Linked DNA regions of Sus scrofa. The protein of the gene in region 2 interacts with the protein of the main gene of each other region in a pairwise test. Links are inferred from orthologs where the notes say so. Each region holds a gene or a part of one and is shown on either strand. Other genes may lie near its edges.

What was found.
Region 1: the proteins of TCAP (region 2) and TTC19 interact in binary tests that used the Homo sapiens proteins (3 or more experiments, as listed by UniProt). The link is inferred for Sus scrofa from reciprocal best matches to the Homo sapiens genes TCAP and TTC19.
Region 3: the proteins of TCAP (region 2) and LAMTOR5 interact in binary tests that used the Homo sapiens proteins (3 or more experiments, as listed by UniProt). The link is inferred for Sus scrofa from reciprocal best matches to the Homo sapiens genes TCAP and LAMTOR5.
Region 4: the proteins of TCAP (region 2) and TRIM55 interact in a two-hybrid assay, tested with the Homo sapiens proteins (2 studies listed by BioGRID and IntAct). The link is inferred for Sus scrofa from reciprocal best matches to the Homo sapiens genes TCAP and TRIM55.

Annotation. Positions count from the first base shown.
Region 1 is NC_010454.4:59,414,717-59,420,847, reverse strand, and holds the start of TTC19 (tetratricopeptide repeat protein 19, mitochondrial), read left to right. Parts: upstream 1-2,026; 5' UTR 2,027-2,051; coding exon 2,052-2,226; intron 2,227-2,296; coding exon 2,297-2,433; intron 2,434-4,481; coding exon 4,482-4,592; intron 4,593-5,186; coding exon 5,187-5,225; intron 5,226-5,942; coding exon 5,943-5,999; intron 6,000-6,131. Other genes in the region: ZSWIM7 (zinc finger SWIM domain-containing protein 7), read right to left, coding at 1,806-1,896. UniProt on the Homo sapiens protein: Required for the preservation of the structural and functional integrity of mitochondrial respiratory complex III by allowing the physiological turnover of the Rieske protein UQCRFS1.
Region 2 is NC_010454.4:22,649,847-22,655,058, forward strand, and holds TCAP (telethonin), read right to left. Parts: upstream 3,059-5,212; coding exon 2,949-3,058; intron 2,684-2,948; coding exon 2,290-2,683; 3' UTR 1,820-2,289; downstream 1-1,819. Other genes in the region: PNMT (phenylethanolamine N-methyltransferase), read right to left, coding at 1-23. UniProt on the Homo sapiens protein: Muscle assembly regulating factor. Mediates the antiparallel assembly of titin (TTN) molecules at the sarcomeric Z-disk.
Region 3 is NC_010446.5:109,720,678-109,726,768, reverse strand, and holds the start of LAMTOR5 (ragulator complex protein LAMTOR5), read right to left. Parts: upstream 4,106-6,091; 5' UTR 3,975-4,105; coding exon 3,769-3,974; intron 2,896-3,768; coding exon 2,834-2,895; intron 314-2,833; coding exon 196-313; intron 1-195. UniProt on the Homo sapiens protein: As part of the Ragulator complex it is involved in amino acid sensing and activation of mTORC1, a signaling complex promoting cell growth in response to growth factors, energy levels, and amino acids.
Region 4 is NC_010446.5:68,526,823-68,532,965, forward strand, and holds the start of TRIM55 (tripartite motif-containing protein 55), read right to left. Parts: upstream 4,106-6,143; 5' UTR 3,924-4,105; coding exon 3,756-3,923; intron 3,236-3,755; exon of another isoform or gene 3,231-3,235; coding exon 3,058-3,230; intron 1-3,057. UniProt on the Homo sapiens protein: E3 ubiquitin ligase that plays an important role in regulating cardiac development and contractility, muscle growth, metabolism, and fiber-type differentiation.

The DNA.
Region 1 (6,131 bases), about 37 Mb from region 2:
CTGATTTACACCTCAAAATCTAGTAACCCCCCCAAAAAAATACCTCAGAAACGGGTGGCACCAGACAGTTCTGGAGGTCTTTGAAAGCAAGTTTAAGAAGCTAGAAGGTAGTAAAATAACACTTTGAGATGTCTGAAGAAATATATCCAACATATAATTCAATACCTAGCCAAACTGTCAATTAAGTGTGAGATGGGAAAACAACTTTTTCAGACATGCACAGCCTCAAAAAGTACATCTTGTACTCTTCTTCTGGAAGCTACAGAGTATGTGCTCTATAAAATAAGGCAGTAAACTAAGGAAAAGAAAACTGTAGCATAGGCGTTCCCGTTGTGGCTCCGCAGTAACAAACCCAACCAGTACCCAGGAGGATGTAGTCCCTGGCCTTGCTCAGTGGGCTAAGGATCCAGCATTGCCGTGTGCTGTGGGGCTTGGGTCCCGAGCGGCTGCGGCTGTGGCGTAGGCCAACAGCTGTAGCTCTGATTCGACCCCTAGCCTGGGAACTTTCATATGCTGTGGGTTTGGCCCTAAAAACGCAAAAAAAAGAAAAAAAGAAACTGGAGGATATACTAAATTTAAGGCCCAACTTAAGTAAAGGGAATTTCCTTAGATGATGGCAAAGGGCGGTCAGGAGAGAGGCCACTCCATATGAGTGTGCCCCAGGAAGCTCTGGGGGTGACTTCTACAGGAAAAGGAAGTTGCTAAGACATTTTATTCATCCTAACAGCTTGAGTAGATATTTAGAACGCTGGTATATTGAGTGAGGGAAAAAGGCATAGAAAAGTAAACAAGCAAACAAACACAGTTTTAATTCCAGAGAAAGCAGAAAGTTACAAGAAAGAAAAAGTAATCATAGCTTTGTCCATGACTCAGCGGTAGCTAGATTTTTTCCATCATCAGACATGTGTAAACTCAGGCTACTGATCTACAGAAATGATCATTACAGGACGGGGGTCAGGAAACTAGTCTAAAACACAAGTTTTTGAATAGCAGAAAACGACTCTGCTGAAAAAGAACATGAATCAGTGGTGGTGGTCCCTCTGAGTCACGAGCATCAGGGCACCCACCGTGCCCCCTTCAAGACCCTCGCAAGTGCACAGATGAATCCATTGCGATAGAGCCCATTTCTGGCAGGCAGCGTTTGAGCTGACAACGGATTGGCTTTCCCCCATCCTTCTGCGGATCAGAAAGTGTTTGAACACCTGGCTGCCCTAATCGCTGAAGCCTATCCGCTGCTTTAGTTTTAACGAGAAAGTTTACTTTAAACGAGAAAGCAAAAGTTGGCTTCCTTTTCTCAATTCTTTAACAACAGTAACAAACACTTTTCAAAGTGCAGCCCTTTTCAAACAAAAGCCATGCAAGTGAACAAGCAGGGGCAGTTCTGAGGCCACTGAGACGTTGGCTGAGCAGCCCGACGGCGGCGATGCACTGCGGTCACTTTGGGCAGGATGCTCTCATACAGGTGTGAGCACGCGGACGCCGCCGAGGTCGGCCGGGCGCCCGGGAGCCTGGTCACAGAGCATCCTCTGCTGGTCAGAGAACGAAGGCACGGTCACAGTGCCCAGCTGTTCTCCAGTCACTGCGTCCGCACACGGGTTCGCAGCCCTAAAATATTTATTCGCTGAACAAGGTGTATGCGAGGATTAATTTCAGCGAGTCTGGACTCTTAAAAGGGCTGCAGTGGAGGCGAACAGGCCGGAACCTCCCTCCCGGGGACTCCGGCCCCGGACCCCTCGACCGGCCCCCCGCCCCCGGACCCTTGCCGCCCGCCCAGCCCAGCCCAGCCCAGCCCAGCCCAGCCCTACTCGGTGCGCCGTCCCGCACCGCCGCCGCCATCTCGCTCAGCAGCTCTTCCACCACAGCGGGCAGCGTAGGAACCCCCGCTGCCACCGCCATCGCCGCTTCCGCACCAGCCGGGGGCGGGGCGAGCGCGGGGACGTCAGCGTGCGTCCCGGCGCACGCGGGCGTCGGGGCCAATCCGACGAGCGCTCGACGCGGGGGCGGGACTTCCGGGGCCTTGGGCCGCAGTGCGCAGAGGACGCGGCGCAGCCATGTACCGGCTCCTGGGCGTGGGCCTGGCGCGCGGCCTCCTGCGGGCGGCTGGGCGGCAGCGCGGGGGTCGCCCGGCGCGCCTGCCGCCGGGGCCGGTGCGGAGTCGGGTGGACGTGCCGCCGCGCCTAGGGGTGCCGCGCGGCCGGGGTCCGGGGCTGCTGCCGCTGTTGGCAGGTGAGGGGCGTGGGCCGGGCGGGGGCCGGGCGCGGGCCGGGCGCGGTGACTTCAGAGCCCCTTCCCGCAGCGCTCGCCTGGTCCTCGAGGCCCGCCGCGGCGGAGCGGGAGCGAGAGCGAGAGCGGCGGGGCGAGGGCGAAGCAGCGGCCGAGGACGCGGCGGCCGAGGCGGAGGCCGAGATCATCCAGCTGCTGAAGCGAGCCAAGGTGAGGCGGCGGCGGCGGCGGCGGGGCCCCCGGTCACCGGGGCGGGTGAGGAGGCGGGAGGCCCCCCGTCCTGGGGGTGCCTGTCAGACGCCGCAGCCGGCTCGGGGCGCCGGGCCACAGGTGCAGGTGCTGGTGCAGCGCGGGCGGAGCTGTCTATCCAGACGGAGTTAGCGGGACGTTTGGAGCTGGAAGGGCGGGCAGGGAGGAAAATGCGCCTCGGTGTGGGTTATGCGCGATTTAGTTCTCTTATTCCCAGACAGTCCTCTCTGGCATCCTCTCCCGGGTTTCCGCACCGCTTCCCTTGGGCTCGTTGACCGCCGCCTCGGGGCCGACGTCATGCACACTTGCGCTCCCAGGCTGCGGGGTGCCGCCGGCTTCACCTGCCAAAAGCTAACCTTTGATCTTAAGGGCCTCCCCGACATCTTGCTTCTCCATCTCCTCTTTACGGCCATCCCCCCGTGTTCGTAGTCATTCTTAGAACCTGGCATACCTAACCATCACTCCCCGTACAGAGTCCAGCCACAAGTCCTTAGAGGATGTTGCCATCAAATCCAAACTATTCGGCAAACCTGTCCCCTTCTGTGTCTCTCTTCTGCTGTCACCCTAGCCGCACGGCCGCAGCCTGCTCCCTCCTACTGCCTCCTTGCCATCCATTCTCCAGGCAGCAGCCAGAGTGGGTTTTTTTCCTTTAATTTTTTTTTATATTTTTCAATTTTATTTTATTTTTTAGGACCATACCGGCAGCATGTGGAGGTTCCCAGGCTAGGGGTCGAACCGGAGCTGCAGCTGCCGGTCTTTTACTACAGTCATGACAACACCAGAACTGAACTGCATCTGTGTCCTACAATGCACCTCACAGCAACACCAGATCCTGAACCCACCGAGCAAGGCCAGGGATCGAACCCTCACCCTGGTGGATACTAGTTGGGTTCTTAACCTGCTGAGCCCCAAGGGGAACTCCCTCTTTTTTTTTTATTTGTTGTTTTTATGTGAATCAGATCATATCCCTTCCTTCCCCCAAAACTTGGGACGCCTCTCCTGTGCATTTAGGGCAGAATCAAACTCCTTGCTGTGGCCTGTGGGGCCTTTCGTGAGCCACCCCACACTGCCTCCGTGTTTGGCAGTAATCCTCTGGCTCATCGCGCTCCTTTCACATGTTTCCTTTCCTCCTAGCCGTTTACTTTAGCGGGGGGGGGGGGGGGGGGCGGCCTTTGTGTGCTTCTCTGTGTTTGGGTCGTTTTCCCCACAGTCCCTTATTTGCTGGATGCTGTCTCTTTCTTCTTATGCCAGTTTAACTGCCACTTCCTTGGAAGGCTTCTCTGACTCCCATTTCGAGGAAACCTCTCCATGTTCTTTTCTGTTGCTTTTCTTTGTAGCTTTTGTCACAAGTTGTAATGAAGCTTAGTGGTCCTACAGGGTCACGTCCAGCTTTCAGGAAGAGAGAAAGAGGACGGAGGGCCAGCAGCTTCCTTATAAGATATGATAAGAATTTGCTTACAGGAGTTCCCGTCGTGGCGCAGTGGTTAACGAATCCGACTAGGAGCCATGAGGTTGCGGGTTCGGTCCCTGCCCTTGCTCAGTGGGTTAACGATCCGGTGTTGCCGTGAGCTGTGGTGTAGGTTGCAGACGAGGCTCGGATCCCGCGTTGCTGTGGCTCTGGCGTAGGCCGGTGGCTACAGCTCCGATTCGACCCTTAGCCTGGGAACCTCCATATGCTGTGGGAGCGGCCCAAGAAATAGCAACAACAACAACAACAACAAAAAGACAAAAGACAAAAAAAAAAAAAAAAAAAGAATTTGCTTACATTCCTGCAGTGTGCATCTACGGGCTGCAGTTTTGTCATATGGCCACGCAGAGTGGCGGTGGAGGCTGGCCTCCCAGTCACCGTTATTGGCGAGGGTCTGGAGCCCAGGAGGAATTAAGGGAACACGGGATGAATGAGTAGCTTCCTTCTGTGTATTCAGCTGTGCCCACTTCTGTCTGGCAGCACCTGCACTTGCTCGCTTGGTATGTCATTTTACATTATTTTCTTTGTTTTCTCTTTGCAGTTGTGCATCATGAAAGATGAGCTAGAAGAGGCGGAGCTAATTTTGCACGACGCCCTTCGTCTTGCTTTTAAGAGTGATAACAAGAAGGCCATCACTTACACTTACGATTTGGTAACTCTTCTAACCAGCTGGAGCCACTGACAGTGGAGGGTGGAGCAGCAGAAGGGTTGTTTGCTGTCCTAATTCATATTCTTGACCAGCAGGATGTCCTAAAGCTCTCTGGTTTTTGTTTTTACTAAGCTTCCTTTTGGTTTCCTCTTTTAATAACCCTTGGGGTTTCACTTATAAGACTCGGGAGTTCCCTGGTAGCCTAGTGAGTTAAGGATCCGGCGTTGTCACTGCAGCGGCTTGGATTGCTGCTGTGGCTCAGGTTCAGTCCCTGGCCCAGGAATTTCCACATGCCGTGGGCATGGCCAAAAAAACCAAAAACAAAAGCGCAATCCTGGAACCAAAAGAAGCATCATCAGTGTTGCTTTCTCAAGTGAGGAGTGCATCTCGATTGCGCCTGTTATCGTCGGGGCTGTGCACGTATTTGCTCTCACGTCATTGCTCTGCTTTGCTTCTCGCAGATGAGGACACGTTTTTGTCTGGACGGTTTTTTTCGTTAGAGGGTGAAGGCAGGTGGGAGGGGTCTGTAGCTTAAGGGATTTGAAGTAGGTCGGAACACAGTGGTCTAAACTGAAAACAGCTTGTGGTTTCTTTCAGATGGCCAATGTAGCATTTATACGGGGGCAGCTTGAAAATGTAAGTAAATCACTCGGTAATGCTGTGAGTACGTGAAGGACTCGCCTGGTGTTAGGAAGGGTGCACACCAGGCCGCCGTAACAAAGAGACCCCGACGTAGACTCAAATCAAAGGGGAGTGTGTTTCCCTCCGACACGTTCGTTCGTCCAGAGGTGGCGGGACAGGTACCTCTGCTGCACAAAGTGGCCAGAGGCGCAGTGATCCCCTCTGAGCTTTGTCCGCATCCGCCTGGAAGAGGAGGCTCCCTCCAGCCTGCAGGAGGGAGCAGGGGCTGGGGGCCAAGCAGCTTCCTTGGAGAGAAGGACTTGGAAGTTGTTCCCTTCACGCATGTGCCTCTCTTGGCTGCAGCTCATTGTAGGACCCCACCTAACTGGTACAAGTTTGGAGGCTTCACCTCTTAAAAATTGAGGGGACGCTGACTAAAAACACAGCGAGTGGGTATTAGGGAATTGTTTGCAGTCTCTGCCGTGGTGGGTCTGGATGAGAAGTTAATGTCCGAAGTTGGTTTCTACTCACTTGCAGAGTAGTTTTTAAGGGGCCCAGGGGATGCGGGGTCCTGGTACGTCGTCGGTTTTCCCACCACGGGGTGCTTTTCTCTGTGTGTTGTGAGTGTGACGTGTGTTGCGATGTTCTAGGAGTGGTGCCTCAGGCTGCTGCTTAGAGTCCAGGGTCATACAGATGGGGGGCCAACTAAAAGCCTTCTTCTTGTGTTTTTAGGCAGAAAAACTTTTTAAAGCCACAATGAGTTACCTGCTTGGAGGGGGCCTGCAGCAGGTAGGATGTTGTGTAGGATTGGGTCCGAGCCGAAGCCATTTTCACAACAGTCTTGCTTCCTGAAAACTCCACGCGGACCCCACATGTGCTTCGGGCTTTCTTTCCCCCCAAGGCCGTTATAAAAATTGCCAG
Region 2 (5,212 bases):
TGGCTCTGGCCTGTCCCACTCATGCTGCTGCCGCCGGCCGCCCAGTCCCCCGCTCGCCTTTATCTGCAGCCGGACCCCCGCCTGACCCCTCCGCTGCGGGGGCAGTGGCTAAGCGATGAGCCGCCTGGGGCCACACAGGCTCTGTCTCCCCTACCCCATCCATCTCCTTTAGTGTCCAAGGAGCAGACACGCGGGAGGGGGGACCATCCGTCCCCGCCCCTGCTTCGCAGTTGCTCTGGCTGCCCTCCACCCTTTGCCTCACCTGCCCTGGTCTAAGGCCAGCTTCCGCACCTGCCCCTCAGCTTCCTACCCCCAGACCCCCTAAGACCCCCTGCATCCGCCAGACCCAGCACCCCAATCCTCTTCTCCAGCCCTCGCAGCCATTCACCCCTTTTGCTCGACATCCCATCCCTTCTCTTTTGCCAGGGTTGGAGTTAGCCCTTTCTCACCCCAGCTGCCAGCACGCCCCACCCAGGGCCCAGCCCGCCCCCCACTCCCCCGCCAGTCTTCCCATCTCTGGGACACCCTGTCCAGTATCCACTCCCCTTTCTTATAAAATCACCTCAATTCCCCTTCTCTGCCCCTCCTCTAGCCCTCTCGTCCCTGTCCTCCAGCGTTCCCCCCCCCCACCGCCCCTCGGCCTGACTCCAGAAAGGACAGTCCGTTCCAGCCTCCGCCACGTTCGCCCCGGGGCCCCAGAGCGGAGCCCGGGCCGCTCCCGTCAGATGGCAGCAATGATAGGGGAGGCGAGCGAGGCTAATGCACTTAGCGGGCGGAACAGCCTGGCCTCCCCTGCGGGCCCTGCGGGCTCGGAGCTGCGAATCCGGGGCCATCCGAGGGCGGGAGGCTCGGGACGTTCCCGCCAAGGACTCCGGTGAGGTCAGAAGGGCGCGGGGCGCAGTCTCCGGGCTGCCAGGGCCACCAGAGGGCGCGGTCTGAGCCTTCGGGCGCCAAGGGATTAGGCGTGTCGCCGGTCTGGAGTCTGACCCCTCTCATCTCCCAGCTCAAGCTCCAGCTCCCTCTGGGGCAGGCCTGCAGACAGATGGCTTGGCGCTCCAGGTACCGGGCCGTCAGGATGCCAGGTCTCCCCTCCCATCCCCCCAAATGGGAAGTGGATTCTGCGACATCGACTCCATGGTCTTCCTGGAGTGGGACCCCTCTGGTGATGTCTAATGCCCCTCTACCCTGGGTAGGCCACCAGCCCCTGCCAAGATGGGCCCCTGGCCTCCTCCGTGCCACTCGCCCCCCCTTGTCCCCAGGGGAAAGTGTCTTCTAATTGGGCCAGGCAGCCAGGTTGGGACATGAGTCACCACAACAGCTGCAGGGGTCACAGACAGGAACCTGACCCCCCCCAACACCCCCCCCAACCCACCTTGGGCTCTCAGGACAGGGAGGGCAGAACACCTGATCCCAGTTGAGGATTGATTCTGTCTGGATTCAGAACCAAGATAGGTCAGTCTTGGGGTCACTGACCCCATGCACACCCCGAGGCACAGCTAAGGACAGTCCTGGTGCCAGCCCCCTCCATATTATCCATGAGATCATTTAAGCAAACCCTGAATGCCAGCTGGCCTCCCGGGCACTGCCCAGTGCCAGAGGATTGGACACGGAGGCCAGTTCGGCACAGCAGTCACCATAAGGAAGGGGGATTGAACGGCCACCCTGTTTACAGTTCTGTCCCTGCCACACTCCCCCACACAAGCGTGGGCGACCCACTAGCTCTGCCACATTTAGCCGAGATGCAGGGCCGGTTCCCAGAAGTGAGCAGGGGGACACCAGTGGGTAGGCCCCACAACCACAAGGACAGAGACAAAGTCTGGCAGGTGACTGAGCATTTATTGCAGCGCTAACAGAGGGTGCTGGGGGCTCCATTTGGCCTCTGCCCTCCTCACGTCCCCCTCCCTCGGGTCTTCTCCAAGCCTCCTTCCCAGCGCATTCCAGATCCTCTCTCACTTTTTTCTCATTGTTCTCCGAAGCTGAAATCTGTTCGGGGCCCACCCTTCTTAGGGGCCTCTTGCCCTCACCCGTACCTTTTGTCCTCCCTCCTAGGGCTGGGGGTGCTTGGCTGGGCTGGCCCCCAGCTCTCCACCCTGAGTGCCCGCTGTCTTTGCTCCCTTCCCCTTGGAAACTCAGGAGACCCAGGCATCCCGGCCTCTGGCTCCCTCCTCCCCTAGCCCCCAACTCTGGGCAAACTACAAAGCATCCATGGCCAGCAGCTCCCCTCCGTGGTCCTAGCCAGGAAGGGCCCAGTCCAGGGCAGGCACAGTGGAGCCCGAGTCACCGTCCCTCTCAGCCTCTCTGTGCTTCCTGGGACATGGAACGAGACAGGGAGCGACGAAGGGCGCCAGGCTTGCTGACAGGCACCACAGGGGGCAGCTGCTTGGTGATCTCGGCCACGTCCTGGCGGTCCAGACACTGGCCACCCAGGGCTGTTTCCAGCGCCAGCAGCTCCCGCAGCTGGATGGGGGTCTCCTCGCGCTCCTCCTTGGCGGCGCCCACTTTGGCAGGGGTGAAGATGGGCAGCGGCAGCACCCGCTGGTAGGGCAGCTGGTACTCCTGCAGGCCACGGCCTAGGATGCCCATTCGCATCACCAGCCAGGGGGATCGCTGCACCAGCGCCTGGCACTGCCCCTGTTGGTGGTAGGTCTCACGCCGCTCGGCATCCTCCTCGTGCAGAGAGCAACTGGGAAGAAGAAGGCCGGGGTGGGGGGAACACTGAAGTCCTAAAAGCTGTTGCCCTGCAGTCTCGGCCTGGGTGGCGGGGCTCCCTCGGGCTGCCGGGACCTGGGGTGCAGTGGGGGCGACTCCACCTTGCTCTCCCTGGGGAGCACTCTCTTTGCCCCCCCCCCCCCCACGCTCCTCCTGGGCTTTGTGCTCTGTCCTCTTAAGGCTCAGGGACAGTGCTCTAGGGGAGGAGAGGGACCCCCAGGAGGGGAGGAAGCACTCACCCCTCCTCCGGCCGCGTGGACAGCGTCAGATCCTTCCACTCGGCCCAGAAGGCCTCTCGGCGCTCACAGTTCTCCTCGGACACCTGGCAGCTCAGCTCTGAAGTGGCCATGATGACCGCTGGCTTGCTCTGGGCTCTGCTCCTCCCAGGCCCTTTAAATAGCCCCCTCCTCCCCCTCCTCCAGGGGCTATTTTCAGCCCCTCTGGCGTCAGATGCTATAAGCAGAGCCAATACTCACTGATGGGGGGACTCTGGGCCCAGGGCGGGGGTTGGGGTCTCCGGACTCTGGCTGACCTCAGGTCAGAGGTCAGCTTCTGAAGAGATCGAGGTGCTCCGGTGGGGGCGGGGGTCCTCGGAGTGACACCTCCAGGTGTCTGACACTCTTTAGACACTGTCTGGGACCAGGCACATGCCCAGCCTCGTGCCACCTTGGCACATGCCTTCCGCCCCACCCCTTCCCCCTCGCCCAGGGAGGACAGCGGCTTGTCTGTAAACAGCAGGGACCGAGGCCCCCTCTGGGCTCTGTACCAGGCCATCAGGTGCTGTCCCCACTGCTCTCCTCTGCCTGCCTGGAGTCAAGGGCACCCCCCCAACTGTGCCCCTCAGCAAGGGACAGTGCTGCCACGTCCTCAGGCGCCTGCACCCAGAGGTCTGGTCCCTGACCAGCAGGGGTACTGGAAGTTAATGTCGCACGTGGGATCTGGGACACAAACCTTTGCTGGGTGTTTTCCTCTTCTGGGTCCAGTGGCCAGAGGTGCAGCCTCCCGAGTCAGGCCAGTGGGGGTGGAGGGAGCACAGTGGGTGTTGGCCCCCCTCCCCTGACACCTCAAGTGGGGCGAGACAAGAATCCAGGGGCTCCAAGGAGCAGCAATCAGATCTGACTCTAGCCCCACATCAGCCACAAATAGGCTGTGTGACTACGCGCCCCTCTCTGGGCCTCATTTTCCCCATTTTCTGGTCACAGCCGCTTCACCAGAAGAGCTCTTACCAGCTCCAAGGTGCCGCCTGGGAAGGACCTGGCTCTCATGCCCAGGGAGCAGGCCGGTAGGAGGGCTGTGGGGACAGCCCAGCATCGAGGGCGGCAGCTCATGCTGCAAAAAGCTTGCACCCAGGGTGAAGGGCACGGGGGAGGGGGAATGAGGGCGTCCCTGAGCAGACAAAGCAAAGGGCACCGAGAGAGGGAGGGACAGGAGCTGGGAGGAGAACCCAGCACTAAGGTCCGTGGGCCCCGCCTGGGGCGGAACAGCAGCCTCTGGATTACTGAGGCGCTGCACCTGATTCCTGGTCTCTTTATAAGGCAGGAAATGAAGGCTCAGCGAGGTAGATTCACGCAGGGTCACAGGCCTGGCCAGGGCCAAGGGGGTTCGGCTCTAAGCAAGTCAGCCCCTCCGGAAGCCTGCAGGCACAGGGCGGGGAGGGCCGCTCTCCTGGTGGCCCCAGGGAGGTGGAGCAGAGAAGGTGGGCAAGTGAGCCCAGAGGCTGGGACCCAGACGTGCCTCAGGGACTGGAAAGTCCGGGGCCCCAGCTCCTCCTCCCAAGCCTGAGCTGGAGACCTTAACTTGACCTTCCCTCCCAGGAGACCAGGCGGGGAGGCAGGGACTTTTTCTCTGACCAGTCATCTGCCCGAACTAATTTAAAAAGTTGGAGGTGAGGGGTGGGGTTCCAGAAACTGGGTCCCCAGTGGCTCCATCCTCCTCCTGGCTCTGGCAGGGGGTGAGAGGGCGTGTGATGTGTTGGCTCTGGCAGCGGCTCCTTCCCCACCATCATGGTTGAGGTCATGGTTGTTTTTTTTTTTTTTTTTTTTTTTGTCTTTTTGCCATTTTCTGGCTACGCCAGAGCCACAGCAACACGGGATCCGAGCCGCGTCTGCAACCTACACCACAGCTCACAGCAACGCCGGATCGTTAACCCACTGAGCAAGGCCAGGGATCGAACCCGCAACCTCATGGTTCCTAGTCAGGTTCGTTAACCACTGCGCCACGACGGGAACTCCCTCCTGGTTGGTTTTTGTGGCCATGCCCACGGCTTGTGGAAGTTTCTGGCCCAGGGATCAAACCCACACCACAGCAACAACCCGGGTCAGAGCAGTGACAACGCCAGATTCTCAACCCACTAAGACACCCGGGAACTCCAAGTTCGTATTTTTAATTGGCTCAAATGACAAAGGTCCCCAGGGAGGCCCTGGGCGGGGGAGGTGACCTGGAGAGAACCTGGGAGAACAGGTCCCCTGCCAGCACCCACTTCTCCCACCTGCCACCTGTACCC
Region 3 (6,091 bases), on a different chromosome or scaffold from region 2:
TTACTCTTCATTTACATGTACCACTGTGGTCTGAAAGCACAAGAGCTTCAGAGATCAATGCAACAGCTCCTATGGTCCAAAGGGCGGAACCATCCTCCAAGTACTTTAAATGAACACAGGGCAAGCCCCAGTCAAGTTCCCCAGGGCTTTTTCTGAATCAAAAGGAAAGGAAGGGATCTGCTGACATCTACTCACCCGTTATCTGATTCTAGACACACGACAGGAATATCGGTGGGGTCTGAGGTTAGCTTAGCTGCTTGCTGGGCTAGGACAGATATCACCCCAGCATGCTCATCAGACAGGGTCCCTCGGCCTAGAAGACAGATATGGTATCATGTTGCCTGACTGTCCAAAAATGAGTACAGAGCTATAGTAGAACTAAACTCAGTTATTCACAAAAAGAAGGGTCAGCTCCTGGGCTCTTAGCTACTGTTAGTACTGTACGGACATGAAATGATTCTGCCCTGAGACTCAGCTGGTTATCTCAGTGAGGAAGCCAGACAACAGCTTTTAAGTCAATAAAGCCGTAACACTCAGTTCTCCAAGTCATTTCCATCACCATCTTCAAACACCTTCTCAAGCATGTAAGGAAGCTATAATTCAAGTCAGTCTGGAAGCAAACTGAAACCAAGACGAAATTCAGAGGTGAGACTGACAAAAAGCAGTCAGTAAGGACAAGAGACGTTGAAACTAATTAATTCCTGGAGTTCCCTCATAGCTCAGTGGGTTAAGGATCTAGCATTGTCACTGCTATGGTGCTGGCATAGCTGTGGCATGGGTTTGATCCCTGGCCTGGGAACTTTGCATGCTGTGGGTGAGGCCCTCCCCCAAAAATCCCAACTAATTAATTCCTCATGGGAAATCTAATTTCCTTTTACTGAGTTCAACTTCAAAGAATATAAAGATCTTGGCTCAAGAGTTTAGCTGTAGGATCTCCTTAACAGCATACATAACTATTCTATAAGCAATTATGTCCATTAGAACAAGCTGGTTGTTTTCAAATAGGAACAGAATTAGCTTTTTACTAATGTCTGTTTTAGCCTGTAGATAATAACTTAGGTGTGAGGTACAAAAAGTAATCACTAAGTTTACCGTATATTTCTGTATATAGAGGCAACACAAGCCCATGTACTTGAAACCAGGTCAGGTAATGTACATGCTACTATGCAGAGTTGATGAAGTTACTGTTGTTTATAAAACATTAACTGGACAGACACAATGTAGTCTTTTGGGCCTTAAAAGCTTCTTTTTTAGAATGTATATAAAATTTATATATATATATTTTTTATGGGATGGAAATCCTGTGAAATTGGATTGTTATGATCATTATACAACTACAGATGTGATAAATTCATTTGAGCAATAAAAAAATAAATTTATATATATTTTTATTAAACAGTAATTGATTTACAATGTCATGCCAATTTCTGCTGTACAGCAAAGTGACCGCACACACACACATTTCTTTTCTTATATTATCTTCCATCATGGTCTATCCTAAGAGATTGGATATAGTTCCCTGGGGTATACAGTAGGACCTCATGGTTTCTCCATTCTACATGTAATAGTTTGCATCTACTAACCCCAAACTCCCAGTCCATCCCACTCCCTCCCTCCTCCCCCTTGGCAACCACAAGTCTGTTCTTTATGTCTGTGAGTCTGTTTCTGTTTTGTAGGTAGGTTCATCTGTGGGACCTTGAAAGTTTCTTAAAGAAATTAATTTAGTTTTAGATTTCCATACTTGAATCTCAACCTTTCCATCTGTAAACCTGGCAAGCACCTCAAAAAAAAAAAAAAAAAAATCTCCCTTTTCTTCCAACTAACTGATTTGTGTATAAAACCTGAGTTACACAGACTAATTCTTTCAATTACCCTCCCTGCAAAAATTCAGAGCTTTAAAAAAATCTTGCAGAACAGAAGAGTAGTGAGCAGGGTGTCCTGGGTTTACTAGTTCTGACATTAATTAGCTGAAGCCTCCCATTGTTTACCTTTCTGGATTTCTTTCCTCATCTGCAATTTGTTACTATCTGTTGAGCATCATGTCTGGGTTCTGTGCTGAGTGTTTTACATATTTTATATGATCCTATATTATTGTGATGTAGAGGCTTTGGGGCCAGACTCAAATCCTAGCTCAATCACTTACTAGTTGTATGACCCTGGTCCAGTTACTCAACCTCTGTGCCTCAATTTCTTTATCTACCTCATAGGATTGTTACAAGGATTAAATGACTTGATATGTGGAAAGTGCTTATAATGGTGCCTGGCACATAGAGCTCAGTAAGTGCAATTCCATAATAATAATTATTATCAAACAACAACCCACTACAGAAACTGAAATTCGGAAAGGTTCTTTTTGGTCCAGGTTCACACTAGTAGTACAGGGGAGGGCTGGGGGTTGAACCTAGGTGTGTCTGAGCTTGCACCCCTCATTTTTACTGCCTACTTACTGTTCAGTGAAGTTGAACTAAAAAATAACACCATCCATCTGGCAGGGTTACTGGGGAAATTTAGCAGTCCCAAAATACATTCAATAAATGGTAACTGCTGTCATTATCTGAAGTCCTTTCTAGACTCTGTTTAGAATGATTCAAATACTATTCTAGAAGAAACAACTATGTAGTGCTAGAACTGCAAGGGACATCTCCACCTTTATAAGTATCAACTGAAAACATTCAGTTTTCTAATTTTGCTATTGGGAGATGATCTCTATTTACAGAAAAGTCCCCCAAAAGTGGCAGGGTGGCAGGAAATGCAAACTAGAGAAAGCACCCTAGGCTCCCAGTCAACATCAAGTGCTGTGCAATCCCTGGAAGGGCTGTTGTCAGATACTTACATCCCAGATTGAGTCCTTGTGAATCTGTGCACAGGACTCCAACAATGGATGGATTCTTCATTCTAATTCCAGGGACACAGGAAGAAAGAAGCAAATGATGTAGGAAAAATGGATTTAAATATAACACACACAGGCTTTCTATGTACCCAGCACTGCTGTTAAGTGCTTTAAATCAGTGTTAGTCTTTTTTCTTTATCCCTCATCCCTACTCCAAGAAAAATTACATTAAATCATAATAAGCTAACTTTAATGATGGTTAAACTAATTTCTCTCTGATGAGAGAAAAGACTGCCAGGTACTGCTAAGCTTTGGAGGGCTACAAACGTTGCAATAGCTAGGATTTTGTTGCCCTCGTTAAAAATATGTATTTTAGCCTACTCTCTCACTTGAAAGAACTGCTGAAAAGCTAACTAAAACTGGTTGCCCCATGGAGAGGAAGTGGGAAGCTGAGCGGCCCTGATGCAAGGGAGGTGTCTCCCTGTACGCCGTCTTAAACTTTTCTAATTTTGGATTTTACGTAGACACTATCTGTTCGAAAAATTTAAAGGATGTCTTTCATCTTCTTGAGCACCAAATAACTGGTTACACCAGAAGGAGGTACGCGTGTGTGTTTACGTTTACACTGAAGATACAGGTGGTAGGTACCTCCTTCCCCCAAATGAACTCGGTTCCTAAAACTCCTAAAGAACGGCCCCGCCCAAACAATTTCTACACGACAGGCGGGATTTGGGCTCGGACCCGGGACACTTGTTCCGGAGGGAGTGTGCGGAGCACCGGCGGGATTTAATTCCGGGTTACCCTCCACTCCCATCGGCGGCCCGGGGAGAGAACGTCCCCAAGAAGCCCAGCGGGCAGTCACAGCTCGCGCCTTCTGTTGCGCTCAAGGACAGGCCCGCCGCGAACCCAGGACAGGCCGACGTGGCCACATTACTTACGTGTCCTCCAAGTGCTGCTCCAAGGTTGCTTCCATCCCGCCGCCGTCCGCCGGGCGCACCACCCACGGTGGGTCTTCTCCTAGGAAACTGGTCTCCGGCTCCGCTTGGTCAGTCACATGATGCGAGCAGGACGCGGACCTGGACGGCGCCTCCAAAGGGACAAACTTCGTGGCGCAGTCTCGGCGTTTTCTCCGGGATGATGTCATTACGCGCCCTCTGCCGCCGCGAGCTGGGCGGGGTTCTGCTGCCTGGGGTGCGACCCGCGAGGGGACCGCGCGGGATGTACCCCCGGGAGGGAGGTCTGTAGTCTTCCCTTGGAGCCAGCTTCCTGGCCTGTCCCTTTGTCTCCGCCGTACAGACCTTTGGATTTCGATTCCACCGACTCCGAGAAGTCGGGCCAGGTCTGGTTGAAGTTTTACAATAATCCGGCCGGCCCCGCGGGGTCCCATCCAGGTGGTAGGGCAGGGACAGACAAGAGAGACACAGGATTCCGATGAAGGGTTCCCCAGGCTTGGAGGGACAAAGAGAGGAAGGACAAGGGACTAGAGGATGAGGCGGAACAAAATTAAAACCCCAAGCTGGGTAGGGGGGCAAGTGTTGCGATTTTTCGAAGACGTTGGTTCTTCCTCTTTGGAGAGGATTCGGGAACGTTTGAGAAAGAAGGTGTCATTGTAATAAAGACTGGGTAGGACCACTTAAAAAGTAACCTTTAAAAAAAGTTAATTACAAAAGCAGTTATAGGGAGTTCTGGTCGTGGCTCAGTGGCTAACGAATCCGACTAGGAACCATGAGGTTGTATGTTCGATCCCTGGCTTGCTTAGTGGGTTAAAGATCCGGCGTTGCGGTGAGCTGTGGTGTAGGTCGCAGACCCGGCTCGATCCCACGTTGCTGTGGTGGCTCTGGCGTAGGCGGGCTACTACAGCTCCGATTCGACCCCTAGCCTGGGAACCTCCATATGCCGCAGGAGCGGCCCTAGAAAAGACATAAAGACAAAAATTAAAAAAAAAAGCAGTTGTAAAAATAAGGAAAGAAAGCCCACCCATTGTCTTTGTCCGGAGATGACTGATAAGGCCTTGGAGAATATTCTTTCCGCCGGTTGGTTGTCTTTGCAAATGTATACTTTGTGTTATTGTTTTTTCTTTTTTAAAGCTAAGTTGACACACATATTGTACAAACAATTCTGTAGCTTATCTTTTTCACAAAATTTAGCAAAAATGTCTTTCTGACATAAAGTTCATTTACGGCATTTGTAATACTTAGAAAATATTACATATTATAGCTTAACCAACCCCTTATTAATGTACAGTTAGGTTGCTTATAGTTTTGTTGTTGTCGTTGTTATGTTTGGGTTTTGGCTGTGACAAATGCTGGATGAATATTCTTATGGCCAAATATTTGTGCAGTTTAAATTTTTTCTTATAGTAAGTTACAAGAATGGAATTATTGGGTCAAGGTTTTAAAGTCTTTTAATATACACTTACAAGTTACCCCCCAGAAAGGTGGTTCCAGTTTACACTCAGATTGGTAGCATTTTGATGAGAATGGGAGTGTGCCCAGAGGCTCACCCATCCCCCCATAAGCCTCTACCCGCTCCCTGTAATCCTCCTGGCAGCACACCTCGACCTCCCTTTTCTCCAGCCCTCTCTCCTCCAGCTTTTATTCACTTTCCAGCTTTACTCAGCTTTCACTTCTGTTCTGGGGCACAGCTTCCCGGTTCCTCTTGCCTTGAATTCAAGAGTCCCTCTTTATTCCCTAGCTGTGATGGTGAGAAACTTTCAGCTTCCTTAAAATTCCAGCCTTGAATGTCGTAATTCAGGAGTTTTAGACTCCTGGCCTAGAGAAATGATTTATATTAACTTAGGGGTTACTATAATATGCGACATTTAAATTTTAGAAAAAGCAGTTTAAAACCACTCTTAAAAGATAGCATTAAAAAACGTCGGGAGCCCGCCCACTTGTCCTGCAGTACCGAGGCAGCTGGGTACTGCAGTACCGCCCCCTTGTGGTCCATGTGGTGTAAAGCTCTGCTGGTCTAGGGCTTCTCAGCTCTGGCTTTTTTTAACCTTCGAGGCAGCGCTGTCCAATAGAAACGTAATTTTGTTTGTTTATTTATTTATTATTATTTTAATAGTTATTTCACCATACAATTTTTTTTCTACTGTACAGCATGGTGACCCAGTTACACATACATGTAGACATTCTATTTTCGCTCATTATCATGCTCCATCATTTGAGTATATGTAGTTCCCAGTGCTACACAGCAGGATCTCATTGGTAAGAAACGTAATTTTATTTATTTTTTATTTATTTATTTTTTTTGCAA
Region 4 (6,143 bases), on a different chromosome or scaffold from region 2:
AAATGAGCAAAATGAAAGCAGAGAAGAGATGTCAACCAAGTGCTGAAAATTGGGACCATCTGGATGAACGGAGGTGACCTGCCTGAGCTGCACTGTAGTTGTGCTGAGAGCCTGCAGGGGAGAAGCGTACAGGGAGCAAGCTGCTCCCCCTGCGAAGGCCCTGGGGCTGCAGAGGCCACGCACTCGGGGGGCGGGAGTGTGGAGAGGCTGGAAAGAAGAGGACTTTTTGCACATTTGGGGGATTACTTGAAGGCATGCTCCCTAAAGCAGTAGATAAAACCAACAAAGAGGTCAACCTCGAGCCAGAAACAAGGGCTTCAAGCCAGGGGAGAGGAGGTGAAGCCCAGCCACGCAAGGGCTCAGTCCTCCCTGTCTACAGTTGCAAAGTCGAGGACTAGGAGCAGACTAGCAGCATACTCCTCCCCTGTCACTGGGTGACAAATGGCCAAAGAACAGCTGAAAGAGTTAAATGTGGTTCCCTCAGTGCTCAAAGAGAGAGTAGGGCAGAAAATGCAGCCCTGGAGTTCCGGTCATGGCTCAGTGGTTAACAAATGCAACTAGGAACCATGAGGTTGAGGGTTCGATCCCTGGTCTTGCTCAGTGGGTCAAGGATCCAGCGTTGCTGTGAGCTGTGGTGTAGGTTGCAGATGGGGCTCGGATCTTGAGTTGCTGTGGCTCGGCAGCTACAGTTCTGATTAGACCTCTAGCCTGGGAACCTCCATATGCCGCAGAAGCGGCCCAAGATATGGCAAAAAGACAAAAAAAAAAAAAAAATGCAGCCCTCATTTGAGGTCTTGTAGTGCTATTGGAATGTTTAAAATTATGCATGTGCATAGGAATTACTTTGACTAAAATTTTTTAATATTTTAATAAGGTGTTAATAATAATAATAACTACAATCTCACATGATTATTATGAGAATTAAGGAATTACACATGATTCATGTGTCTAGCAGCCTGAACAGTGGCTGACACATATTCAACACATAATTGTTTTACTTTCTGTGTTTTACAGTTACTCGTTATTATGTTCATTATTAATATTAGTGAAATTAGTTCCTTCTCTCATCATCCCACTCCCAAACTGTGGCTAGTTCAGCACCAGGCAGAATGATAGGTTAGAAGGCCAGGTTTCATTGAGACCTACCATCTCCAGCCATTCTGTGGGAAGCCAGACTGGACCAGCCTCCTCCCCTATCTGCGCCCACCCTGACCATGGGCCAGAGTCAGTTCATTTCACTCTATGTATCCTCGTTATTCCAGAGTCACCTAACATACCCTGGGCCTTAGGGTTCTGGGCTGGTAAATCTGCCAGCCTCCAGGGAACAACTGGGTTTATGTTCAAACATGTGCCCAAGCCCTCTGTACAATTTGTGGTTTCGCCACTAAGTAAAAATGTCCCAAAGGCAAGTCTCAACTTCCAGAAACACCAGCATAAGAAGAATTTGATAATCACAAAAACACTGCTAGTCTACTCAGTCATGAGTTTCGTTGTTGGAAGTTTGGTTCATTGCTTTTATGCAGCTTGTTCACCCGGGCACTGTATTTGGCAGTCGCGCTGCACAGACTTTAAAGCCAGGATGTGTCTTGTCATTTTACTACTGCTACAAATTTTTAACATCTCCTCTTTTCTGGATTACATAACAATTACTATTATTATTTCATATCATTCAAGCTCTCACTCTGCAAGTAGCAAAACAGAAAATTATTGCAATAAATAGAATGTGTAAGAAGATTTATGGGGTTGCATAATCACCTGGCACTTAGGGAGCAAGTATTCCGTGCAAACCACTGTACTAGGCACTGAATCAGTTGTTACATAAAGAGCCTTAATGATCAGTTGGTTATTATTTGGCTGGTTAATTTAAGAGACAGTTTATCTATTTGCATCTTAAAGTAATGAAATAAAATGAGATCAAATCGTAATTACAAAAATGGTACTTTCCTTCTTCTCAAGAGATTTTGGAAGCAAGGGAAATAGCCAACTCCATCTCTGCAGTACGTTGTCAGCAATTCTTCCCAGTGCCATCTATATCCTGGCACTATCTAATTTAGTTTTGAATCTTAAGCAGAAATGAATAGCCATAGCGATGATAATAATTATATGTTAGGTTTATAGAACAGCTTTCTTTCTAAGAGCACAAGGCTCCTAGGGCCCTGCAGATGTTCCATGAGTCTACGTCTCCTAATAGGAAGCACAGCGAGGTCATTTCTAGATGGTCTCAGTATTGCTATCTGGTGTTGTGGGCTGCACTGACTGTACCATTAAAAAGGGGGCTCTTCACACCATGCCTTCTAGGAATGAACTCCTGCAGTGTTGTCTTTAGGAAAGGAATACTATAGCCAATGTGATTCGATGAGTAAGATGCACCCACTGCCCCTTTTTAATGACTGATGTGTATACTGCGTGTCAATCAGCAAGTGAATGCCAAGAGCCCATAGTACAACCTAGAGAACAGGGAAACATAACCTGAGCACCCTCTTCTTCTTTTTTTTTTCTTCGTCTCTAAACTTTTAAGTTGCTAAAGCTTAGGACTCTGCCTTGCTTTGCTCCTTTCCAGAGTCAATACCATGACCACGTCAGAGGATTTTCTTTTTATGATTCTCCTCTAGAAAATTTTAAAGTGAGACTGTCTGATCTAAGAGGTTGATTTTGGAAGATGTCATTTCTGTTAATTTCCTATTGTGTAGACTCTGGAGCTCTAAAGGACCTGTGAAGTGCAGAAACGTCTCCTGTGGATGTAATACCAGGCTGGGAGCAGGGGCAGCATCATGCCTCTTTCAAGATCACCATCTGGACTGGATTAGTGATAATGAGTTACTTCATTCTTAAATTGATAGAAAAGCATGGGCACCAGCTTCCTTCTCTCCTCCCAAGAGCAACTCTCTCTCCCATTGGTAAGGACTGACTTGGAAAAACATTTTCCTATAAAACAATTAGCCCGTGATTGGCAAACAAGCATTCAGTATAGCGACCCACTAAAACAAACAAATAAACAAAAGCAAGCTTCCAACGTGTTTGACACGGCCGGCGGGGGCAGGGGAGGGGGGCGCATACCTGGTGGACTCTTGCTTGTAGATGTCAATAATATTCTCCACCAGCAGGTTTCTCTGAAGCCCGTATATCCCATGTCTGTCCAAAACCACTTCGTGTCTGCAGGATGGGCAGCGGAATCGGCCCCCCGAGGCCACAGTGGTGCCTCCTCTTGTGGGCAAGTACGGGTTAGAGGCCTGTTCTTGCCGAGCAAGAAAAGAGGAATTGAGCATTGCCACAGGTAGCTTTCCTGGGACCTCCTTTCCCTCTCAGTTACTACAAACAACATCAACTCCTTGCTGGGAGATAGTAACTGGTCCCAAAACACAGGACCAACCCTCACCCATGGTCAACTGCAATGTGCCATTTTCAGCATGAGGTCCTTTTCCACCTAACGTTTTCATAACCAAAAGTTCCAGCCAGAAACTCCAACAGTAATGCCTTGGGCAGTAATTCATTTACAATTTTGAAACAGATTCAATGTTTCTAAAAGGACAAATATGATTCTTAATATTTTAATAAAATTAGATTTGAGAGCCAGGAGGAGGCTGATGGCAAAGCACAAAGCAAATCACTTTTAAAAATGGTCTTTCTTTTTGGTTGTTGTTTTAAATAAATGCAACCTTAGAACGCTTCCTAGAGAAATTCACCTCAGACTTAAGCACTTGATTGGGAGATGAGAACATTTTTTCCCTCTACCCCTAGATTCCAAACAAACCTACCTGGAAAATGTCACTGGCACATTTCCTGCACAGGTTGTGCTGGCAGGGAAGAATGACCACGGGCTTTGTGAACATCTCTAGGCAGATGGGGCAAATGAGTTGCTTCTCCAAGTTATCCATGGTCTGCTGCTCTTTGGAAAAAGACTTGTAATTCAAAGATGCGCTCATCTCCTGGCCGTCCCCGTGTGCACTGCCAGGGAAAGCGTGCTTCGAACGGTTTCGGCGAGTGATTCCTGGAAATAATTCCAAGGATTGTACAATCAAGCGTCCTTTACGTTTCTTTTGGTGGAGGACATTGTTTCAGGCTGGGGTTCAGAGCAGTGCTCGAGCTGTTTTTAGCAGCCGAGGGTCACGTGACAGCTGGCTGACTTCTCCATATAAGCCAGTGACAGGAGGATGGATTCTGACAGGTGACAGGGAACAGGGGCCAACATTCCTGGCCCAAGGAGTGAAGAGAGTGGGTGGGAAGGAGGACTGCAAAAGCCATTTAGACAGGGGTTGTGAGGAGCGGGAGGTGCCGCTGACAGTTGTCAACAACAAATGGGAATGTTCGTGCCGAGTCACTGAGCTATGCCCTCTGTGAGCACTCAATAAGGACTCGGTGACGGGCTTCTCCAGGACTGGGGAGAATGTCATCCAAGTAGAACGAAAGCCATTTCTGTGTTGAGAATTTAGGAAGCCAGTCACCAAAAGGAGCAATGACCCCCCTGCCTGAGGTGAAAACAGACAAAACAGGTCCTGAAGAGCATCATCCTGGCTTCACAAAGGTAGTCATCTAAAAAGCCTCGCTTCGTCTTAACCACTTCCTCTTTGTGAGGGTCAGGAAATGCGAAAAATTCCAACTTAAAAACTGATTGCTAATCTTTTCACCATAGGAGGCTCCACAAAATTTTAAAATATCCAAATGCCACTTGATGATCCAGGTTTTTTTAGAAGTTGTGAAAGAAAGCTCTAGTGTGCGTTTCCCTCCCTTTTGCCTACTCCTCTTTCATCCTATACCCCACCCCCACCCCCAAAATGCCCAGAAAATTGGACAGCCTTTAAACATTTAAATTTAGTTTCCATCGACAATCAGTAATACAGTAGTAACTGGGACATGGGGTCAGACCCCTTATTTCGTTTTGCCACACAGTGGGGAACAGATGGCAGGGCCATCTTCAGTGGACATGAAAACCGAGTCCTGCTTCCAGATCTGGGTTTTATCTGGTCTGAAATACCTATACCCCTTGGCATTTGTCTCACTTACCAAGGTGATTTTTTTTTTTTTAATGATAGTTTCTCTGGCCATTTCCTGGACTGTTTCTTGAGCCATCAGTTTCAGTTCTGATATTTGCCGGGATTTTGTGAAACCACTGTTTCAGCTATATGTTTTGTTTAAATATTTAAAATCAGATCAAAAATGAAAAAGAAACACGTCTATTTTTTATGTGCTAAATTTGCAGTTTTATTTCTCCTTGATTTTAAAAACCTCCTGCAATGAACACCTTGTGTTAGCACATCCCCAGCGTGCACTTAATTACCAGCAAAGAGTAGGGGGCTGTGACTGGTCATGGGTGCCCTTCATGCTAGTGCACTGAGCGCTTACTGAGAATCTAATAAGCTCTATTAACAAATAATAAGTTACGCGTATTCATAAACCTTTCAGAGATCTTTGGAGAATTTTCTTATTCCTTTCAATAGCTTTTTAGCAACTACAGCGAAGGAGAGAACTGGTGACATTTTTTTAGTGAGTAATTAGTTCACCTAGCTGAGGCGTTAACTGTGTTTATTATCACATGGGCTGTGATGGTCTGAGCAAGACATGAGAACTCTTTTCTAAACAAAATGAAGTTTCTATTGTAAAAGACCTTGCAACCTCAGGAAAAGCACTTAAATGAGTAATGTACATTGTAGCCAAGCCTATCCTTTTAAGAGGAAATCATTCCCTCAAAAAATACTGGTTGAGGAGTTCCTGTTGTGGCTTAGTGGGTTACAAACCCAAGGACAAGGGTTCGATCCCTGGTCTTGCTCAGTTAAGGATCTCATGGGTTAAGGATCTGGCGTTGCCATAAGCTGTGGTGAAGGTTGAAGACCTGGCTCGAATCTGGTGTGATGTGGCTGTGGTGTAGGCCAGCAGCTGTAGCTCTGATTTGACCCCTAGCCTGGGAACTTCCATAAGCCACACCTGCGGCCCAAAAAAATATATATTGGTTGAGCGTTTCTCAGGTGTCTCTATTGTGTTCGGCTCTGGGGATTGAAAACTGAATAAGACACAAGTCACTGTCCTCAAGGAACTCAGTCTGATATATAGCAGAGATAAAACATGCATATACAGAACCACAGTCCAAAGAACATGTGACAAAAACTGCAGGATGTGGAGGAGTCAGGAGGGCTTCATGGGTGGGGTGG